Linked DNA regions of Sus scrofa. The protein of the gene in region 1 purifies or fractionates together with the protein of each later gene. This does not show direct contact. Links are inferred from orthologs where the notes say so. Each region holds a gene or a part of one and is shown in the gene's direction. Other genes may lie near its edges. The genes, in order: UBE3D, DNAAF2 and CPSF3.

The links.
Region 2: the proteins of UBE3D (region 1) and DNAAF2 purify together in Homo sapiens (affinity purification with mass spectrometry; 4 studies listed by BioGRID and IntAct, counting the BioPlex papers as one, with this or other methods). This does not show direct contact. The link is inferred for Sus scrofa from reciprocal best matches to the Homo sapiens genes UBE3D and DNAAF2.
Region 3: the proteins of UBE3D (region 1) and CPSF3 purify together in Homo sapiens (affinity purification with mass spectrometry; 4 studies listed by BioGRID and IntAct, counting the BioPlex papers as one, with this or other methods). This does not show direct contact. The link is inferred for Sus scrofa from reciprocal best matches to the Homo sapiens genes UBE3D and CPSF3.

The regions. Positions count from the first base shown.
Region 1 is NC_010443.5:83,174,901-83,178,550, forward strand, and holds part of UBE3D (E3 ubiquitin-protein ligase E3D), read left to right. Parts: intron 1-698; coding exon 699-807; intron 808-3,650. UniProt on the Homo sapiens protein: E3 ubiquitin-protein ligase which accepts ubiquitin from specific E2 ubiquitin-conjugating enzymes, and transfers it to substrates, generally promoting their degradation by the proteasome.
Region 2 is NC_010443.5:179,481,586-179,484,959, reverse strand, and holds the end of DNAAF2 (protein kintoun), read left to right. Parts: coding exon 1-75; intron 76-1,691; coding exon 1,692-2,129; 3' UTR 2,130-2,771; downstream 2,772-3,374. UniProt on the Homo sapiens protein: Required for cytoplasmic pre-assembly of axonemal dyneins, thereby playing a central role in motility in cilia and flagella.
Region 3 is NC_010445.4:126,900,438-126,904,803, reverse strand, and holds the start of CPSF3 (cleavage and polyadenylation specificity factor subunit 3), read left to right. Parts: upstream 1-1,501; 5' UTR 1,502-2,010; coding exon 2,011-2,130; intron 2,131-3,811; coding exon 3,812-3,819; intron 3,820-3,900; coding exon 3,901-3,964; intron 3,965-4,366. UniProt on the Homo sapiens protein: Component of the cleavage and polyadenylation specificity factor (CPSF) complex that plays a key role in pre-mRNA 3'-end formation, recognizing the AAUAAA signal sequence and interacting with poly(A) polymerase and other factors to bring about cleavage and poly(A) addition.

The DNA.
Region 1 (3,650 bases):
CAAATGACTCATGGGTACAGCCCTAAAAAGCAAATAAAATAAAATAAAATAAAAAGAGCATTACTTAGTCATTAAATCCATTGGTGTTCCTTTTCTTTGAGTCATTTTAGTTGTGCATACGAAAGTTAACTGTGGTATATGTCTTTATTGTGCATACGAAAGTTAACTGTGGTATATGTCTTTATTTAAGTTCATATATTGGTGTCTAAAAATTATGGCTCTCTGACTATAACCTTGAACTTTATCCTCCCGTAGATACTTTGATTCTGTACCTTGGAGCTGACACTTCCAGGGGATACAATTGGAAAACATTGGCGATAGTACTGTTCAATGTTTTGGAGGAAATTTCTCACATTCTTTTTTAACTTACTTATTCACTGTTTAATGTGCCATAGCACAAATGGAGTATTGACTTGTTTTAACAGTATATTTTTTTTTAATTTAGTGGGGGGAATTGTTAGGTTTGCAGTGGAAAACGTATTAAGGATTGGAGAATAGGTTATAGAAAGACTGGAGCAAACACAAACACATTAAAATAGATTAAAAGGAGCACAGATTGTGAGGGAATGGGCAGCATATAGAAAAGTCTGCCATGCACCCACCTCTGCCTTTTAGTTACCCTATGGGTATTTTTGGCTCTTCATGCCAGTTAGAATTATTATGAGAGGCACACTGAAAATTGGTTTCTGTTCAAACAGGTCTCAGTTTGTACAGAGCGTTATTGCCCAGTGTCTGATGGAACTCTCCTCTGCTAGAAGCACTTTTAGATTCACTATTCAAGGTCACGACGGCAAAGTGTACATCCTGGTAAGAAATTATTTTACCCTCTTAGGTGAAATTATTTCAGCTCTTCGTAGCGTAATAACCCAGGGCCTTGGAAATTCGTTTGTTTTTGGCCATTCTTTTTTCTTAATTTTCAGTTCTAGAAAATAAATATGCAAAATTGAGTTTTTCTTATCAGTTCCATTCATGAATCAAACTCCCTTAATTTAATAACAAATGAAGTAAATGCCTCTTTGTGCTAGGTATGAGGGATTTAGAGAGAATTAATGCCTGATTCCTGCTCTGTAGAAACTCATGCCGCAAAATATTTTTACTCTCAGTTTTTAGTAGCTTTCTTGGTCAGCGTAACGCAGTTCCATCTTTCTCACATTTTTTGCCTATTTGGTACTCTCATGTTTAAAATATGTTCTGTTGCTCCTGTTTTTGTTTTCTTGTTTTGAATGTGTGTGGTAAGAACACCTAACATGACCTACCCTCTTTACAGATTTTTAAGTGCACAACGGAGCATTGTTAATTATAGGCATAATATTGTAACACAGCAAATGTCTAGAGCTTAGCTTGCCTAAGACCTTAAACCCTTTGATTAGCAACTCCCTGTTTTCCCTTCCCCCCAGCATTTGGCAACCATCATTCTACTCTCTGCTTCTAGACTATTTTATTTTATTTTATTTCCTCTTGGTTGTGCCCATAGCACACGGAAGTTCTGTGGCTAGGGACCCAACCTGCATCACAGCGGTGACAACACTGTATCCTTAACCTGCTGTGCCACCAGGGAACTCCCTAGACTATTTTAGATCCCTCGTGTAAGTGGAGTCATGCAGTATCATCCTGTTGTGTCTGACTTGTCTTATTTATCATAATGTCCTCGAGGTTCATCTAGATTGTCACATATTACAAGATTTCCTTTTAAGGCTAAATAATCTTCCATTGGATGTGTGGATCTCATTTTCTTTTTATTTTTTTTAGAATTTCTTTTTTTTTTTTTTTTTTTTTTTTTGCCTTTTGTCTTTTTAGAGATGGCATATGGAGGTTCCCAGGCTAAGTGTCCAGTCGGAGCTACAGCTGCTGGCCTATGCCATAGCCATAGCAACTTGGGATCTGAGCTGCCTCTGCAACCTACACCTCAGCTCACAGCATCGCTGGACCCTTAACCCACTGAGCGAGGCCAGGAATTGAACCCGAAACTTCATGGTTCCTAGTCAGATTTGTTTCTGCTGCACCATGATAGGAACTCCTAGAATTTCATTTTTTAAAAGCTGAAGTATAGCTGGTTTATGTACCACATTTTCTTCCTCTATTCAGTGTTGGTGGATGTTTAGATTGTTTCTGCATCTTGGCTGTTATAAATAGTGCTGCTATGGATGTGGCAGGGCAGATATTTCTTTGAGATCCTGATTTCAGCACTTTGATGTAGTGACAGGTTTGGGGGAAGATCCATCCCCATATGCACCACAAGCATCTGATATTAAACTACTCCTACTCAAAACACTATTGTGCAGAAAAGAATTGGAGACATAATGTGAAAATTCAGGCATCAGGACCCAAATCTCTTCTCTGCCTCCACGTCTGTTTTATTCAACCAGTATATACCGAGCACTTCTTATTGGAAAGACACTGTCTTGGGTGCTCCAGATAGAACAAAAGTGCCTGGTATCTAGAAGGAAGGAAGCAGTTGAAGTTGTTATTAGGTGTGGCTCTGGGGCTGTCCCTTCATCACGGGAACCCCAGGCTTCTCTAATTCCAGAAAATTTATTTTCTTTTTTTTTCCCTTCCTTCCTTCCTTCCTTCCTTCCTTCCTTCCTTCCTTCCTTTCTTTCCCTACAGCTGCATCAAATGGAGGTTCCCAGGCCAGGGGTCATTCAGAACTGCAGCTGCTGGCCTATACCACAGCCACGGCAACAGCAGATCCTTAACCTATGAACAAGGCCAGGGTTCAAACCTACATCCTCACGGACACTATGTTGGGTTCTTAACCTGATGGAGCCACAACAGTAACTCCTCCAGATAATTTCTACTTAGAGCTAGAATATTTTCTGACTCAAGTTGATACTAAGTGTATCTCATAGAGTCAGATTCTGAAATCAGCTTTAATTTGCTTTTATTGCAAGGTTTTCAAATGGAAAATCAGGAGTAGGAACTTTTTAAACTTACTACTAATGCATATTTAAATTTTAAAAAATTTACTTTTTCGTAAAATTAGTGCATTCTGACAACAGGAAGAAGATGAAAGAAGTCGTAGCTCCCCTTCATGTCCCCTCTTCTGCCCCACTCTGTCATACCATCTGGAGGGCACCATTATTAACAGTCTGATATGTGTATGTCAACGTGTTTTTTTCCCTATCTGGCATAACGACGTGATTGGTATCATTCTTCAACATGTATATTTCACACAACAGTTTATTGTGATGATTATTTTTTGTTAGTGTAAATGTGTGTTGGACTATTGGAGTTCTTTGGTGACTGGATCGGGCTTTGTCACTGTAGTGGCTCAGGTCACTGCTGTTGCATGGGTTTAATTCTTGGCCTGGAACTTCTGCGTGCTGTGGGTGTGGCTAGAAAAAAAAATCTGTGAATTGGATTCTTATTAACGACTAGAATTCCATTGTATGGCTGTTAAAGATAGTGCTGCAAGGAAAATAATCTTTGTGCATGTATTTTAGTACTTTAGAAACAGATCTTTCTAATCTTATGCAGTGTTGGAATTTGTGTATTTTAAACTCTGATAGTGATCACTTCCAAAAAGTTGTACAAATTCATCTTTATAAATGTTTTTTATCCCTTATAGACTTTTTTTTTTTTTTTTTTTCCCAGGGCTGCCCCTGCAGCACATGGAAGTTCTCAGGCTAGGCGTTGAATTGGAGCCGCAG
Region 2 (3,374 bases), about 96 Mb from region 1:
CAGACAATGCCCCTAAGCTCACCATTAATAGAAGTTCTTCAGGTTACTGATAGTAAGATTGAAATACATGCAAAGGTAAGGATTTTCGTGGGCTCTATAGCATAGTGATTTGGGACAAGATTGAAACCTAACAAATAACTTAATTCTTGATTCCTTTTTCTTTCTTTCTTTCTTTCTTTTTTTTTTTGGCTTTTTGTCTTTTTGCCTTTTCTAGGGCTGCACGTCTGGCATATGGAGGTTCCTAGGCTAGGGGTTTAATCCGAGCTGTAGCCGCCGGCCTACGCCAGAGCCACAGCAATGTGGAATCCGAGCCGTGTCTGTGACCTACACCACAGCTCAAGGCAATGCTGGATCCTTAACCCACTGAGCAAGGCCAGGGATCGAACCTGCAACCTCATGGTTCCTAGTCGGATTCGTTAACCACTGAGCCATGTTGGGAACTCCTGATTCTTGATTTCTTGATGTAACTTTAAACTAAATGTACATAATGGCTGGGAAGGGTTATGTTAAGAGGAATAGACATATGTATTTTTAAAAATTAATTTATTTTGTCTTTTGTCCTTTTTAGGGCTGCACCTGTGACGTATGGAGATTCCTAGGCTAGGGGTCTAATCTGAGTGGTAGCCACAGGCCAGAGCCACAGCAATGCCAGATCGAGTCGTGTCTGCGATCTATACCACAGCTCACGGCAACGCTGGATCCTGAACTCACTGAGCAAGGCCAGGGATTGAACCCGCAACCTCATGGTTCCTAGTCGGATTCATTTCTGCTGCGCCACAACGGGAACTCCTATATATTTTACTATGTGCTACACATCTGCAATTCATTTACACTTATCTAATTTAATCCCCAAATAACTGTCCAGTGAGGAATAGAGAGAAACTAGCATTCAGGAATTATACTAGTCCAAGGAAAAACAAGCCTTTTTGACTCTCAAACCATGGGAACTGTGTCATACAGTTTGTTCATTCTTTCTGGTTGAATCTTAAATTTGGTTATTTTTATACTCCTTGATAATTTTTATACTCCTTGATAATAATTTAGTAACTAATACAGCTGACTTATATGTGAACTGGGGGAAGAGGAGCTGAAAAATTAACAGAAATGCAAGAAAACTCAAGTTCAAAATGCCCTTATAAGAATGACTTTTAGGAGTTCCCGTCATGGGTCATTTAGCCTGACTAGTTTCCATAAGGATGCAGTTTGATCTCTGGCCTCGCTCAGTGGGTTAAGGATCTGGTGTTGCTGTGAGCTGTGGTATATGTTGCAGATGCGGCTAGGATCACACGTTGCTGTGGCTGTGGCATAGGCTGGTGGCTACAGCTCTGATTAGACCCCTAGCCTGGGAAACTTCATATTCCATGGGTGTGGCCCTAAAAATAAAAAAAGCAAAAAAAACCCCCACGATGACTGCTAATGGGCTTTATAGGCCATATTAAAGTGTTTGTAGGCCAGGATTATTTATCTTGAAGAGGAGTCAATGAAAGTATTTAATCAGGAAATTAATGCCAGATTTGCACTGTTTAGAAATGACTGGTAGCATTTGGTGGATGACTTTGAGGGGGAAGCCTGAAAGCCTATCTGCAAGTCTCCTGCGTTTTTCCTTCCCAATTTGAAAAAAGTTTCCAGAGGGAACAATTTAATTTTGTTTGTTTCAAAGAATTATTAACTTGCTGTTTCTCTTGACATAGTTGCAAGAATGTGATAACTCTGAGCAGCTTCATGAAAACAAAGAAGGAGCCAATGAAGAAAGTCATCTAACTGAAAAAGAAAATCTAGAACATCCTACCTCCTCAACAACCAATTCTGATTCATCTGTAGCAGTCAAAGTACTAGAAGCCAACAGTTGTGGTCTGGTTGCATGCTTGCAACAAGGGGCTTTTGATGTTTCTCAGAAGCCATTTGCAGAGTCAAAAGATAATTTAAAAGGACCAGTGAAAATTGAAGAGAAAGAATTAGGTGGAGATCACCCACCTTCATCACTGAACAAAACCACAGGTCACGATACACCTGGTTTTGACAACTTAAGGGAAACCAATATGCAGGATGGTAGTGTGCAGATTATTAAAGATCATGTCACTCATTGCCCATTTAGTTTTCAGAATTCTTTGCTTTATGACTTGGATTAGTTATATATAATTTTAAAGATTGAGTAAAAATTTTTAGACTTAAAATATTCTCTTTCAGTTTACTATCTTAAAACCAAAGGCACTCAGGAGTTCCCATCGTGGTGCAGTGGTTAACGAATCCGACTAGGAACCATGAGGTTGCGGGTTCGGTCCCTACCCTTGCTCAGTGGGTTAACGATCCGGCGTTGCCGTGAGCTGTGGTGTAGGTCGCAGACGTGGCTTGGATCCAGCGTTGCTGTGGCTCTGGCGTAGGCCGGTGGCTACAGCTCGATTTGACCCCTAGCCCGGGAACCTCCATGTGCCGTGGGAGTGGCCCAAGAAATAGCAAAAAGACAAGGAAAAAAAAAAAACCCAAAAACCAAAGGCATTCAATAAAGTATAAAATGAAAATTTGCAATTTTTATTGTCATGGGGAAACTGTAGATAATTATTTTTCTGCATGTAGAGAGTTTATACAAAGCTTCTTTAATTATGGAGATAAGTTTTGTGATTCCTCTGATGTTTATTTTTTCTAACGGAGAGATATACATCTAGTTTTAATACAGCCTGTTTATATTTATTTCTGTGTTGTTTTTGGCTTCTTTTACTTGCCATTACTTTAATAAAGTTCAAAATAAAGATTTCATTAAGTTGTGTCCTTCACAAAAAGTAATTCTCAAAAATGCAGTTAACTAGAAGCACACTAGAGCACATGTTGGGGGAGAAGAATCTCAAAACCATGCGTTTATTAAGTCTCACTAAACAGGATGCATTTATGCTTGTCATAGAGTCTGAGAGAAAAGAACTTTACTAACCAATATTAAATGATCCAAACAATACAGATACACTGAATGAACTTCAGTATTTTTGCTTCAGTTGTGTATTTCATTCATAGGTAAGTCACCATATGTTATAGTAGGTTATTTATTAATGACTTTTAAAACTAAATTTTAAAAGAACTTTTTGGAAGTTATTATTACAGTATGAAAACATCCCTTGGGTTTTTTTGTTTTTTTTGTTTTTGTCTTTTTAGGAGGCTGGGGTCCAATCAGCTATAGCTGCTGGCCTACACCACATCCACAGCAACACCAGATCTGAGCCGAGTTCTACAACCTTACACCTCAGCTCATGGCAACACCAGATCTTTAACTCACTGAGCGAGAACAGGGATCGAACCTGTGTCCTCATGGGTACTAGTGAGATTAGTTTCCGTTGACCATGACAGGAAAACATCCCTTGGTTTTATAGAATTATATTTACAAATTT
Region 3 (4,366 bases), on another chromosome or scaffold:
TGTGCTCTTTTTCAGAAGCTAGAAAGTATTTCCTTTATACATTGATTTGATACAGACTCATTGAGCACCTACTGGGGACATAACACAAGTTAGCCACTGCTCAGTTCACCCCCGTCCTCTCTTCCTGTGTTCAGCAAACACTGAGTCCGTGCCAAGCACCACACTAGGCAGTAGGGATGTGGTAAGAGTGCTGAGTTCACTGAATTCACCCTTTTGGAGAGAATTGCCAAATGACAGGTCCTGGAGAGAGAGTTTGGAGTAAGAGCAGAGCATTGCTTTGGAGGCAGACCTGAAATCCCTTCTATACTCTTACCGATTCCTAGGACACAACATCACTGAACCCGTGTCCTCATGTGGAAATAATACAGCAACACTTAACTCTGCGGAGTAAAGGCCGTGGTACGTGCTCCGTCAATGGCGACTGCTATAGTGGCGTGGAAAGGCATTGCGCGGAGGCCGTGAGCGCATGGAAAAGGGGTTTCCAGCAGAGAAGAGAATGCCATTGCGTGCATCCTGAAAAATGCGATACGTGCGCTGAGTGGCAAAGAATGAGGAGGAATTAAAAATAGCTAAAGTGTGGGCGCAAGGATGTTCCAGGCAGAGCAGTTCTCAGTTTGTGGCCAGTCTCGTGGCTGCGGCTAAACAATTAGCAGATGAGCTGGTAGAGGCTTAGGAAGGACCTTGTATACATAGTAAGGAGTTGGCATCTTTATTGCCAGTTACTGGGAGCCAAGAAGGGATTTTAGGTGGGAATGAGATGTGGTGGGAATTTTGCTTTAGGAAGAGCAAAGATGCTCCTAGCTTTAGTGTAGGAGATGATTAAAAGGATGGATTTTGCTTTTTGCTTTTTGGGGCCGCACCCACAGCATATGGAGGGCCCCAGGCTAGGGTCAAATTAGAGCTGCAGCTACCTGCCTACACCATAGCCACAGCAATGCCAGATCTGAGCCGCTTCTGCAACCTAAGCTATAGCTCTCAGCAATGCCAGATCCTTAACCCATTGAGCGAGGTCAGGGATCCAACCCACATCCTCATGGGACACTAGTCAGGTTCTAATCCAAGTGATAAGCAGTGAGAACTTGGGATGAGTGACGTGAGGAGCGGTGGGTTGGAAAGAGGCTTGCGAGAGTAAAAAAGGGAATTCTTTAGGTCTTTGTACCTGAGCAGATGTGCTGGGAAGGGCAGCTTGGGGGAGGGAAGGCAGAGCAGAGGGCAGCGTTGCCACGACCGATCTGAGGTTGGACAACTGGCAAGGGGACATGTTATTCACTCAAGGAGTACAGGAGCCGGGGCGGGTCTAGAGTAAATTTGGGAGTTTTGTTTCATAGCAGACTGAGCGAGATGGCATTCACACCAACACTCATTTGAAGTGTATGAGTCAGTGGTTTTAACATAGAACAGAGTTTTGTAACTGTCACCTCTAATTCCAGAACATTTCACTCATTCTAGGGAGAAGCCCTGTATATCCATCCCCTCCAAATTCCCCAGCCTTAGGCAACGACTCCTCTACTCTCTGACTCTACAGATGGCCCTGTTGAGGACGTGTCATATAAGTGGGTTACACCATGTGATCTTCTGTAACTGGCTTCTTTCGTGTAGCATCATGTTTCCAGGGTCTATAATTTGGGAGTTTTTACTCATTCTTGAAGTATTTTTTGAGATTTATTGCAGGTCAGGCACTGTAGCTGTACCTGGTGAAATAGACAATTTCTCTGCTGTTGGGGAGCTTTCATTTTAATAGTGAGAAACAAGCCACAAGTTGGTGAATATGATAACTTTATGTAGTTGTAAGTGTTACGGTGGAATATGGTGTGAAGGGCAAATGAGGAGGTGACGTCGGAACTGAGACGCACATGATACAAAGAAGCCAGTGATGCCAGCATGGGAGGGAGAGAGTTCCAGAAAGAAAGAAGAGCAGGGGCAGAGGACTGGTCTGGTTTATTTGAATACCAGGTGCCTATGAAATGACCCAGGAGAGATACCAATGCCAAGTGACTCTTAGAGTCTGCAATGCAGGAGAACAATCTGGGCCACAGATACAGACTTGGGAGTTGTCAGCATGTCAGAAATATGCGAATGAAGGTCAGGAAGGCCGAGAAGAGGGCCGGGGAAACCTTAGGCATAGCAACGGTTGAAGGATGAGCAGAGGCAGCCGAGTGAAGCAAACTAAGGTGAAAAACCAGCAGGACAGGATGCGATGGTGAAGTCAGGAAAGAAGCTCAGAGAAGGACGAGTGGGTCGGATGGGAGAACAGAGAGAAAAGGACTGAAACGGAGCAGAGTGGGTGGTTCAAAAGCCTGATTGCAGTGACATGACTGAGTGGAGAAGGGATTTTAATTTGGGCATGAGCATGACATTAGTGGGTTTAAATGCCAGTGGCTGGAGTTCCCTGGTGACTCAGTGGGTTAAGGATCTGGCGTTGTCATTGCAGTGGCCCTGGTCGCTGCTGTGGTGCAGGTTTGCTTTCTGGCCCAGAACTTCCGTGTGCCACAGGTATGGCTAAAAAATAAAATTAAAAAATTAAAAATAAATACATGCCGATAGCAGAGAAAGGATGTGAGGGAAAAGCCAAGGATACAGCAGGTGTCAGTGGCTCGGAAGGAAGGTGTGTGCAGAGTGTAGAACCACCAGGAAAACCTTAGCCTCAGAAGGGGTCTGGTCTCCGTTACAAGAGAAGTGGAGGGAACCCTGTGGGTGGGTTGGTAAGTGGAGGAAATTGACAAATGAACTGTATCATTTTTTTGATGCCGACAAAGTCTGTGCCTCAGATAAAGAGTAGGATAGATGGTTGGGAAATTGCAGTAAGGGGAGATAAATTTGAAATAATCACTACCCTTAACTGTGAGACTGCGTGCACTTGGCACCCTTTGGAGGGAGCGTAGAAGGCCAGGAGTCCACAGTAGCACTGCGGTGCTTTGATTGGCTTTATCTACAGCCTGCTCTGAAGTAGGAGCTCGGTTTGAGGACAGACCCATCTCGCCTTGATCTCCTGGGAGGCTCTGGGCTCCTTGAGGTCAGGGCCATGGCATTGGGCCTTTCCACATGCTAGGCACCTAATGCACTGCTCAGCAAATAGAATCTGCTTGATGCTGAATGACTAGGTGACTCATGAGCTAGAATGGTCAGGAAAAGCATCAGAGACGATGAGGGATTGGAAAAACAGGAGGTTTAACCTAAAGTCTTGTGATGGTGGAGAAATGAGGCCGTTTTATTAATTTAAGAAGAAAGGAAAATTAAGTGTACTGACACAATGGCAAGTAGAAGGAAATGGGATTAGATTCACAAGCAGGAGTAAGTCTATTTAAATTGAAGCTGTTTGGTAAATGCATGTTATCGCCTTATGGAAAATGGAAGAATGTTGAAGTGCCTATGGGTTTATCCTTAAGTGCTAAATTCTAAAAGTATAGTGAGATAATCTAAATGACTGCTAGTTTACATCTTAAATAATCGTAATTTAACCATAGCGTTCAGAAGGTTGGATTTAACCCTTGGGCTTCTCAGGTTTGGGCCAGCTTCTCTCACAGTTTTAACAGGGGAAAGGTCCCTAAGCTCCCAAAGGTCACTTTTCATCTTTTCCCACATCGACGCCATTCTTCCCTGCCTCTGTAACTCTGTGGCCTCTCATCTGCCTCAAGTGCTTGCTGTCATCAACTGGGACATGGGTTTTTTCTTATTTATGTATCTATTTATTTTTGGCCACACCCAAGGCATGTGGACATTCCCGGGCCAGGGATTGAACCCACGCCACCGTAGTGACAACTGCTGGTTCCTTAAGCCACTGAGTCCCCATGGAACTGCCAAAGGGGAATAGTTTAAGTTGTAAAAAAAGTTTGAACTTATTGGCCTTCATTTTGATTCTTTTTTAATTGTTTTTTTATTTCTTCTCTCGAATGTTTACAGTGGCGCTGGGCAAGAAGTGGGAAGATCATGTATTATTCTGGAGTTCAAAGGAAGAAAGATAATGGTAACTATTACGTTGTGGCCAGGTTAGCGGTGTGGCTCTGTCCACGCTGGCTGTTAAGCCCTTCCTAGTTCAGTGGCTATCTGTTTAGCGCCCAGGCGCACGGCCTGGTTGGTGCATGTAGTCTCTGTACAGTGTTCACGTGGAAACCTCATAAACCCTTCCCCTTAGCAATTTGACAAAACGTCACGTAAATTGAGGAAGTACTTTCCAAAATCGTAAAATTGTCAACCGGCTCCCCGGAACTACTGTTTCTTCGGAGTCACTCTTGTATTCTGAGGGTCCGGCCAGCCCAGCTGCCCCATCCCCAGCGGGAGACCCCTAGGAAGCCGCCGCCCGCACGCAGTGCCACGCCAGGGCCTTGGTCGGGGGGGGCTGGCGTACCTAGGTTAGCACGAGGGCCCC